Nothobranchius furzeri: one gene and its partner. The protein of the gene in region 1 interacts with the protein of each later gene in a pairwise test. Links are inferred from orthologs where the notes say so. Each region holds a gene or a part of one and is shown on either strand. Other genes may lie near its edges.

Region 1 (5,576 bases):
TCAGCGTCTGTTATTCATGGAATGTGGGGCAACTTTTTCTTTTCATCTCAGTCGCATCAACAACGAAAGGGGCGGAGGAGATGAGTCCGTCCGCAGCTCGAGTGTGGACATTTCTGTTGTGCCACGGCTTAAATGCTTTCTCTGTCCCTCAGGGCCGAAAAAGGGCAAAGACTCCAAAAGGAAAGAGGACTTACCGATCAAGCCGAGGCCGCCCGTGACTTCCTCCCGCTTCACTGTCAGCCCCGCCGATGACCCCCACTCGGTGTGATGTAGAACATCATCACAGGAACTCTCAGAGACGAGCCCTCTCCAGAGGGCAGTGAATTTACCCAACAACCAGCCATTCACCCAGAAGATATTTTTTTACTGAACAGGCGACCAGAACGTTGAGACGCTGACTCTGGACACATTCCCGGACTTCGCCAGTGACAGGATCTTGTATGAAAAGTTATCTGAGCTCCTGCCTGCCACTGTTTACAGAGTCTTTGGAAATATGAGCTTATGTTGGAAAAAGAGCAACTTTGGAGCTTTGTAAAATCTGAAACAACTTTGTCAGCTATGCAGTGGGAGTCTTGCTGTGTACCAGCGTACCTTCTCTTTTCTCCTTCATTCTGTTGAATCGTTTTCTTAGGGTGTGTGGGAGGGAGATGCACTTTCTTTAGTCGTTCATCCGTCTGTGTATACGCTTGGACTCTTCCCCAGTTTATCCTCAACGACGTTTTTCTTTGCAGTCAGTCCGTCGTGCTTGTAGGCAGCAGTTTCAAGCAGACATTTCCTGACTCCTGTATCTGAAAATACTCCTCAGCATTTGTGCAAGTATCACAACATAGGTGGACACAATATTGTTTTAGAGCTTTTGCTTTAAGAAGCAATCTTGGACTGCAAAAAAAGGTATTTTACTTTGGATTTGTATCTTAGAAAAGCATTTTTAAAATTTGTTTTATTTTTATATTTATCATACTGATAGAATTATTTGCTGTAAACCAAGTTGTGCAAATTAGTTAATTAATTTACCTATTTATTTATTTATTTATAAGTTCATTTATTTGCTTTAGAGTAGTTAACATTTATGAAATTTATTTAGTTTGGGATAAAGTGCATCCAAGTTGTACATTCTCTTAAGATCTTCATAACAAATACAATATTTTCCCAAACATTTTAATTGCTGGAAGAAAATGTATTTCGAATAATTTTACTTGTTAATATATTATGACGATCTTTACTGTGTGGAAATCTCTCTCTCTCTCTCTCTCTCTCTCTCTCTCTCTCTCTCTCTCTCTCTCTCTCTCTCTCTCTCTCTCTCTCTCTCTCTCTCTCTCTCTCTCTCGGTCTTGGTCAACATTTTCAGGAGCTTTACCACTTTTTTACTTGTTTGTTTGATAATGATTATTGTAGCTTAGCACCACAAATCAGAGCTTTTCATGAGTAAATAAGTCAATTTGTTTGTGTATTTGTTGATTAATTTATTCTTCTTTTTTTAACTAATAACAGTTGGTCATGCTGCAGAGGTCCGGCAAGTCTGTTTAGTCTGTTTCAATGTTAAACTTGTGTTGTTTTAAAATGATTTTCAAAGGGGACGATGTATAAATAAGAAGAAATAAGAAATAAAAACAGAAAAAAGTTGATATTTTACCTAAAATGTTTTCATGGATATAAATCTCACTGTTTGTCATCTTAAAACGAAGTATTCGCAAATAAAGCAATTAGTTTTCATCTATTTCTCAGTTTATGGGCCAGTGACTTCATTTCCCAGAAGGCCTTAGGAAGCTCATTACGTATTTAATCTGCGACAAGAGCAGAGCACAACATTAGCTTTAAACGGACAAATAAAATAGCAACAGCGTGTTTAAACAGATTAGTTGTCTTCTGAAGTTTTTTTTCCCCGAGTAAATAATCTCAATTTGAATCTCAGAGGTGAGTTCTAACATTTTAATAAAGCTTCAGGAAACGTTTAGGAGACGTTTGATGCCGCTAGCTAGCTAACAGCGCAGCTGGTGTGTTAACGCGGCTGAGAAAAACATCTTAAAATGTGTTAATTATTATATTTATGTTATGTGTTGCAATTTTACATGTTATTTGAAGAGCTTGAAGTAATGAAATGCCATGCAGCCACTGAAAACGAGACAAAAAGTTGTATACTACCAATAGTATTTCAATGAAATACTGTGTATGAGGTTTAAAATGTATCTTTAGCAAACTATAATTTTAGTTTAATAGCAGTTTCAGGTTTACCGGTTGCACGAGATAATTTTGGTCGTGTATAAATGTTTAGAAATCAGTTAAAATGAGTAATAATGTAAAACATAGTGATTTGCTGTACATTTGTGTTTTCAGCCTTTTGAAATAGTGAATGAGACAGTATTTGGTGTTTTAGAAAAGCAGGTTATCTCTATCTGTGTACATGTATGTGCCAGTGTTTACTTGGTTTCACTAAAATAATGTGATTTAATCCAACGAAATATCAAATTACATATTAAAATTAGATTATTTAGTAGAGGTAACTACTGGCATAAATACGCCTTCTATTAAATTTTTCCAAAGATTAATGAAGTTTTAAATTAAAGAAACAGAAGTATGGAGTTAGTGGAAAAACATGTTCAAAAATCTGAAGATCAGAGCTACAATAAAAATAGATGTTCATCATTAAGATGAGGCTTTTATTACCATTCTTTCTTTTTCTCTGTGTGTGTGTGTGTGTGTGTGTGTGTGTGTGTGTGTGTGTGTGTGTGTGTGTGTGTGTGTGTGTGTGTGTGTGTGTGTGTGTGTGTGTGTGTGTGTGTGTGAAAATGTAGAAGAAAAGTGCTGTTATGAATATACTGTCTAAGATGAGAAGGGGGTGTACACAGACACACACTTTGGTTTGTTTTCATGTATTTATCATCTTCATATTGTTATTTTTATTCGCTGCTCTTTTGCAGATGTCTCTAGCAGACGAGCTCCTGGCTGACCTGGAGGAGGCTGCAGATGAAGGAGAAGAAGGATTGTATCCAGATGAGGAGGAGGGAGACAGTGATGGAGAGGGGATCCAGGGAAGGACACAGGCAGGGCTGGAAGACATTCCAGAGGAGATGGAGGTGGACTACAGTAAAGCTGAAAGCGTTGCGTCCATCGCCAAGCTTCGCAACAGCAAGCAGGTTATCATCTGAGTTTTCTGTGTAGTGAGATGTACAATAAAACATTAGAATCCCACTTAACTGTGTGTGTTTTTAGTTTTCAGACATCATGGACAAAATTTCAGAATATGTGGGAAAGCAACGCAAAAATTCAGACGGTCAGTTTGATTCCTTTGAGTTTCATCAATGCTCAGGCGTCCCTCACAGCATTTAAATCAGCTCGGTGCTGACAAATCTGAAGTGATTGCTGTGTTTGTTTTTAGTCTCTGGTCCTGTTGAGGCTGATCCAGAATACAGGCTGATCGTAGCGGCCAACAACCTTACTGTGGAGATCGACAACGAGCTCAGTGAGTCAGCTGGCTGTTCCGCTGCGAGGAACCGTGACAGAAAAGCGTGAGGAGTAATTCCACACATCTAATTTTTCTATTCCTTTTGTACTTTTAGACATCATTCACAAGTTTACAAGAGACAAATACTCCAAGAGGTTTCCTGAGCTCGAGTCTTTGGTGCCAGATGCTTTAGATTACATTCGCACAGTCAAGGTGAGCTGACGTCTTGATTCTGAATTTCACATTAAAATGTCACCTTTTTGAATATTTGTGTCATTGGTTAAATGTAATAAATATTTTCTGAAGGATTTGTGAAATCACACAATTCTCTGCTGTTTATTTACATTTTTAATTTTATCTCCAAACTTTTTAAACGTAAAACCGGATTAGTTTTTTTTTGTTTGTGTTTGTGTGTGTGTGTGTGTGTGTGTGTGTGTGTGTGTGTGTGTGTGTGTGTGTGTGTGTGTGTGTGTGTGTGTGTGTGTGTGTGTGTGTGTGTGTGTGTGTGTGTGTGTGTGTGTGTGTGTGTGTGTGTGTGCAGATTTAGCAAAACATTCAGTAATATTTGTGTGTTTTTTGTAGGAACTGGGAAACAATCTGGATAAATGTAAAAACAATGAGACCCTGCAGCAAATCCTGACCAATGCAACTATTATGGTTGTCAGTGTCACCGCATCGACCACACAGGGGTGAGTTTTCCTGTCAGAATCCTGTTTGGCGAGTGAACAGCATGAAGTTTTTGAATAATTCAGATGTTAAAGGGGCATTATGGAAGTTTGACAGCCAAAACATGTATAGAAATAATAAATGTCTTCTTCATACATTCTCCTGCAATGCCCTGGTCCTGTAGAATGAGCCCTGGCATTTTTACTGTGATTGCCTGTTTTTCTGTAAAATCACAGAAAAAGAGAGATGCTCGGGTCGAGCAGGCTGCTTCATGCGCGTTCACGCTCAGGCATCGCCCGTAGCATTTGCTATCCGTAGCTTTAGCAGCAGAGAGAGAGGCAGTGCCACTTTGTCGCTGTTCCTAACGCCTAGTGACAAAGCTAGCTACATTTCTGAGGACCCTTAGCTACTTTCTGTAGAACTTTCTTCTAGATATTTCCTGCAAATTAACAACAAAATAGCCATTTTCACTCTGAACCGTTCTTTGGTTTGATGTTGTTTCAGCTGTCATCAAGGATATAAAAGTTACAGATACTATGAATGTTACTAGAGTGTAACTCACCTTGTAAGATGTCTGACTCCCATGCAGAAGACCTGGGTTCAATTCTGGGTGTGAACATAGTTTATTTAGAGTTTCTTTTTTACATTAATGGTATATTTTTTACAGTAAGACGCCCAAATTTTTATTTGAGACTCGCCGAACGGCATTGAATTCACAGATAAAAAGATGTGGGTTCAACTTTCATTTTGGAACAAATTTTCAAGCAAGGGAAGGGAATGATCTGAGCATGCAGGAGGACTGACCCATCATAAACCTTTGTCGGCTGTGCTGAAGAGAAAGGTACAGAACCAAATTATTTAATTAATTAGCTGCGTGTTCTCCTGTCCTCTGTCCTCCGGGCCACACACACACACACACACACACACACACACACACACACACACACGCACACAAGGGACTGTCTCAGCTGTTATTTTCATTTAGGAGTGTGCACGTACAGCATGCACGCCTCGTGCACGAGCCTACTATTGAAGCTGCCATTACGCTTTTGGCCTGAGGGGGCAACCGCGAGCATAAAATTTCAAAACTCCGTAAAGTCCCTTTAAAAAAACTTTTTTTTTTTTTTTCAGGTGTTTGCTGAGCGAGGACGAGCTGAAGCAGCTGGAGGAGGCTTGTGACATGGCACTGGAGCTGAATCAGTCTAAGCACAGGATTTACGAGTACGTCGAGTCAAGAATGTCTTTTATAGCCCCGAACCTGTCCATCATTGTCGGAGCATCGACCGCTGCGAAGATTATGGGTGAGAGGCGGTTCACGCTTGCACCTGTTGTAGGTGTTTCAGATCTTTATTTCCTTTTTGGTATTCTTGCTGCAGGTATCGCTGGTGGTCTCACCAACCTTTCAAAGATGCCAGCTTGTAACCTGATGCTGCTGGGAGCTCAGAGGAGAACCCTGTCCGGCTTCAGC
Region 2 (5,609 bases), on another chromosome or scaffold:
TTGTACCGGTTTGTGGTGAAGAGAGAGCTGAGTCAGAAGGTGAAGCTATTGATTTACCGGTCGATCTACGTTCCTACCCTCACCTATGGTCATGAGCTTTCTAGGGTTGGGCATCGAGCATCGATTGGAACCGGTTCCAACTGTTAGTTTTTCCCGGAATTGTTCAGTTTTTTATTTCTATTCCTAGTTTCGATTTCTAGAATGCCGACGGAGGAGGAGTCCGCGGCCGATCTCCGTGAAAAATAAACGTGATCTGCAATTTGTGATCAACTTTTCAGAGCTGATCACAGCTGTGTGTGTGCAGCTCCCCCCACGGCCGCGCAGCGGCCAAATATAAACAAACCATCTGCTGAACCTTTACTCAGTAATGTAAACTTTAACTCCTGCAGCGTAGAGGAAACTTGTTCAAATACGTCAACACGGTGGATTTAATAGAAGCTTTAAAGAACAAACTCTGGACGGTGTGAGGCGAGTTTGTCTCACTGCAGAAATAACAACACACACGGAGCGTCAGCAGTCAGACACAGCTGCTCACCAACACTCGTGTGTGTGTGTGTGTGTTGAGAGTTTTAATGTTTGAATCTGTTAGCTTGTTACTGACAGCAGCTACATCTAACTTCCTGTTGTGACTGAGCGCTGCTGCAGCATGGAGGTGTAGTTCTCCGTCATCCTGGACATGATCATCCTGAGAGTTCCAGCTGAAAACAGCTGGACGTTTCTGGATATGTTGGAGACATTTAGCCTCTCATCCCAGAGGCTTCTTCCAGACTTTGGTTGTGGTCAGAAACAAACACACTGGTTGTGCTGCAAGTCGTCTTCTTTTGTCTCCAAAACATGTTTGCGTCTAAATGAAGGTGATGTTGTTGTTCATAGAGTTAAAATTCATGTTGAAGTTAAGATTATTTCATCAAGTAGGACCTGTGGTTAGCTGGCTCATGTAAAGCTTGTCGTGTCTTGAAAGAATCGGAATCGGGAATTGATAGGAACCGGAATCGAAACAAGGAATTGGAATTGGAATCAGAATCTGAATTGTTCAATATCAAACGATGCCCAACCCTAGTAGTGACCGAAAGAACGAGATCGCGGATACAAACGGCCGAAATGAGTTTTCTCCGAAGAGTGGCTGGGCTCTCCCTTAGAGATAGGGTGAGAAGCTCGGTCATCCGGGAGGGACTCGGAGTAGACCCGCTGCTCCTCCACATCGAGAGGAGCCAGTTGAGGTGGCTCGGGCATCTGGTCAGGATGCCTCCTGGACGCCTCCCTGGTGAGGTTTTCCAGGCACTTCCAACTGGGAGGAGACCTAAAGGTAGACCCAGGACACGGTGGAGCGACTATGTCTCTCACCTGGCCAGGGAACGCCTTGGGATTCCCCCGGAGGAGCTGGCCCAAGTGGCTGGGGAGAGGGAAGATTGGGCCTCTCACCTTAGGCTACTGCCCCCGCGACCCGACTCCGGATAAGTGGATGAAAATGGATGGATGGAAATTGTTTCTAGATAGAAAAACAACTAAAAACAAAACAGTATCTTCTAGCCTTCAACATCTGCATCTGATTAAATCAGACTCCCACCAGCCTGCTTTCTAGACAGAACCCAATTACATTAAATGTTGCACAGTATTAGATATGCACCACTAAAGTACTACATAAGATATTGTATTATCATGTACCCCATGCCTTTTGGGTCCTCTTTTCAAAGTGCAGCTTTATTAATTTAGTTTAACTCATGCTCTCGTGCTGCATAAATAATTCTTGATTCCTCAAGATAGTTTCTTTCCCATAAATGTATGAAATAATGAAAAAGTTGCTGTTATTTCTTTGTTTCCCATATTTTAAAAATGTAATTGTTTAATCAGGTGAGATTATTTTTGACCTATTTAAAACTCTCTGAACTTCTTGAATAATAATAATAACAATAATAATAATAATTATTATTATTATTATTGTTATTATTATTGTTACAGGCTAATTGCGGAAACAGTGACCGCCTATAGCTGCTGCGCGTGGCCCCGCCTCCTTCTCGCTTGCCGGGGACATCTCAGAGGGATCCTCAATAATCCAGGGGACCCAAAGAGGAGAGGAGCTGCGTCCTGGCTCAGCGGCACTTTTTACGGAATTAAACCTGCGCCCGTGTCCCAACAGTTCTCTGCGCGCGCCCGAGCTCCGCGAGGACCGTGGGATGCGTCCGTAGCGCGAGCTCGAATGACATTATTGTTGTTGCTCCACAGAAACACGCACGACTGGAAGCTTCTGGACGCTGGGTAACTTTTGCTCAATATTTTTTAATTTTTGTTCATTTTTTCTCTCCCCGCGTTTCTGACTTTCACCTGACGCGCACCCGAGTCTGGAGCCCCGAAGCCGAGGGCGAGATGGAAATGGAAAAGTACTTGCCGGAGCTTTTGGCAGAGAAGGACACACTGGATCCGTCTTTTCAGCACTCCCTGCGGCTGCTGGATCAGGGTAAACGTCCGTGATCAAATCCTGGTGATAAACACCCTTTTTGTTCGATTACAGTGGTCGGGCTGAACGGATTTTAGGTTATAATTCTGCTCCAGAAATAAGATGTTTGTGGTTCTTCTAGTAAATTAGTCACACTTTAGACAGATTTAAGTGTAATCGCTCTATGTTCAGAAAACATTCTCAAACAGGTCAAATACATCATATGACAATTAGGACATATTTATTTTAGGTCAAATTCTACCACCTAATTTGGTTAAAATCATTTTTTCCTAATTCCGGTGAGTTGGGGCAGTTAATGTAATCATTTATAGTAAATATATCCCCTGACTGGTTTAATAGCACCAGTGAAACATGCAGAAGTTGTGTGAAATGTGTTGGAATAATTTTACTCACATTGGAAGGTACGTGTGTTTGCCACTTTTCAAACACACACCCACAGAGAGGAGCTGCCACCGTGATTAAACCACTACTCCCAGCTTTGAAGCTGAGAGTTTTGCGTTCCCTTCTCCAGATGCTCCCTTGCTGAGCTTCTCATGTTGGATGTGCACTTATTTTTTTTAAATTTTTTACCATTAAATACTACATTGAAATGTAAAATTTCCTTAAGCAACTTATGTCGACCTAGTTCCTTATGTGTAAAGAGTAACATAACACATATAACGTTGTATATTTTAATGTAACTAGAGTTAGTGGAACCAGTCGGCATACATTTGTTAAGTAAATTCAACAAAACATTATTTAAAGTGTACTTGCGTGTGCTTTTTTGGGATCCATTTGAGTGACTTAAACCAATCTGGTGGTACTGTAATTAAGTCTGTTGAATCCCCGGATCCTGTTGCTGTTATCGTTTATACACTCTAAGAAATAAAATGTTGAATTTTCTCACCAAGTTATGTCAACTGGTTCCGCTAAACCTAGAGTAAGCATTGTTATACGTTGTTGTTTGGGATGTTCCAGTCACATTCTTTGCTCCCGATCTGATACTTCAGCAATAATTTGGTATAAGAAAAAAGAGAAGACATCCAAGTTGTCCTTTAAGTTTATATTATTGCCACAAAACATTTTTTAGGAACATTGCTAAAAAAGGGTTAAAATTACGAAAATATTTAAAAGTAGCATTGCTGCTCGTATTTCAAATTGTTTACGTCCTTGCAGCTGTATCGAGTGACGCGCGTTCCAGCAACGGGGACGGCATGCGGCACCACGGCCGACGGGCTCACTTTTCTCTGCACAACACCTGTAGCTACCGTGGCAGCACGGCTCCAGCACGGTGAAACCCGATGTTATGTTTTCAGGCGGCAGTTTCTCTTTTTTATTAACGCATCTTTTACTGCTGGCTGGCTCCGTGTTTTTGTCCGAGTTGCTGCAGTGAACTGGGAATACTGGTGTCAAACTAGGGCTTAAGGGAAACAGGTGATTCGCTTTAGCGACACTTGAAGGAAAATGTCAAGAAAGTAGTTTGTTTATAAGGCTGAGACCCCCCCCCCCCCCCCCCCCGGTCCTCATGCCCCTTGTGTCCCCCCCACTTTTGAAGTCAGAACTACGTCCATGCCAGTATACACACATTACATATATTTTTTATGTGCTACGCTTCCAAAACACGTCACACTCAGCAGTTTAGATAGGGTCAGACAGGAAGTCAAACATGAAATGAGTGTTAAACATCAGGATATCTTTCAAAATAAAACAGCTGCAGCTAAAAGTACACCATTTCCTATTAAAACCCCCGTAGCGGATGTAAACAGAACAGAAAAGAAAGCACAGACGTCTTTGGAAACATGCAGCTGTCTTTCCCTCTGCTTGTTGTTGTGTGGACCTCTGAAATCATCCGTGCTGTTGCAGTCCTACGACTTTCTGACCTCACGGATTCAGCTGCAAGTAACTCTAGTTTTATCTGTTTCTCCTATTCCGGTCTTGTGATTTTGTTGTGAAGCACTTAGTATTTTTACTTGTGAGAGGTGCTATATAAATACACGTTACTTACCTATATAAATACCCGTTACTTACTGCCTATTTACTGTCTGCCGTAAACTGTGGGGCTCTACGGTGTTGTTTTTGTTGAAGAAACAAAGAATATTAATGTAGAAGAACTTGATGAAATGAAAACAGGACCATAGTTATAACATTTGTAAATCTCTCTCAGGATGAATTTTAAAACCTGTTTGTTGTTTTTTCAGGTTAAATGACCATTTCCCCGTTTCCCAATCCTTTGAAAATTATGTGATTATGCCCGATTTCCAGTCAGATCGGAGAATCCATAAACTAACATTTGTTTTTGTTTAGTGGAACCAGTGGAAACAACTTGGTTAGGTAAATTCAAGATTTCATTTCTTAGAGTGAATTGCCGTGTCAATTAAAATAAAATACTATACGCTTGAAGACATCCATGGGTTCGTAAAAGGGTTGTGATGGACCCTAGCAAAGCTTAGCATAATTTAACTTTAAATTTGCTTCTGGATAGAAAAGCGAATCTGAATGTTCGCTTATCATTTAGATCCTCCATGTAGATATTCACCGTGTTTCTGCAACCAATTATTTCTATTCATTAACCGGCTGGTATTTACTTGATGATACGCTGCTTCAAGGAACGCCCACCCCCGTACACACTGTGGAGCTACTCTGACTGTGAAACAGTTTAAAAGTGAAACATGACAAAAGCACAAATAAATCACATTTTTGTACGACTTAATCAGCAATGAACCAATTTCACAACTTATCAAACTTAACTTATTAAAGTTTAAGAGAGCAGCAGTGATAAAGATGTAAGAGAAAATGTGTGATAGATGAAGAGTTATGTTTGGTTGTAGTTGTTTGCTTTGCTGAATTATTTATTTTCATTGCTTTAGAGCGATTAAGTTGTGTCAGTCTGGATGTGTGTGAAATAAAAGTCATCATAAAGTTCACGTGGAAGAAAAGTACTCTTCAGAGGGCAGCAAAGAAGAGGAAGAGGAGGTGCGAGGGTACGCTTCATAACTCAAGAACACGCAACTCTTCAACAGACTGAAAAACAAGCAGGACGATACATTAAATAAGAATAAACACTGATTTAGTTACTGAAGCAGAGCAACATTTTATGGAAGGTCACCAAACTTCACTGTGTTCTTCTTGATTGGTAAATAATGGATTTTCATATAAGTTATTAAGTATGAGTAAT

Evidence for each region. The genes of interacting proteins can lie anywhere in the genome.
Region 2: the proteins of prpf31 (region 1) and khdrbs3 interact in binary tests that used the Homo sapiens proteins (3 or more experiments, as listed by UniProt). The two-hybrid records come from large-scale screens. The link is inferred for Nothobranchius furzeri from reciprocal best matches to the Homo sapiens genes PRPF31 and KHDRBS3.

Annotation. Positions count from the first base shown.
Region 1 is NC_091745.1:76,607,080-76,612,655, reverse strand, and holds the start of prpf31 (U4/U6 small nuclear ribonucleoprotein Prp31), read left to right. Parts: upstream 1-1,774; 5' UTR 1,775-1,914; intron 1,915-2,918; coding exon 2,919-3,134; intron 3,135-3,210; coding exon 3,211-3,271; intron 3,272-3,376; coding exon 3,377-3,460; intron 3,461-3,557; coding exon 3,558-3,655; intron 3,656-4,024; coding exon 4,025-4,131; intron 4,132-5,239; coding exon 5,240-5,409; intron 5,410-5,484; coding exon 5,485-5,576. Other genes in the region: uncharacterized protein lmtk3, read left to right, coding at 153-268. UniProt on the Homo sapiens protein: Involved in pre-mRNA splicing as component of the spliceosome. Required for the assembly of the U4/U5/U6 tri-snRNP complex, one of the building blocks of the spliceosome.
Region 2 is NC_091751.1:1,192,286-1,197,894, reverse strand, and holds the start of khdrbs3 (KH domain-containing, RNA-binding, signal transduction-associated protein 3), read left to right. Parts: upstream 1-2,028; 5' UTR 2,029-2,364; coding exon 2,365-2,455; intron 2,456-5,609. UniProt on the Homo sapiens protein: RNA-binding protein that plays a role in the regulation of alternative splicing and influences mRNA splice site selection and exon inclusion. Binds preferentially to the 5'-[AU]UAAA-3' motif in vitro.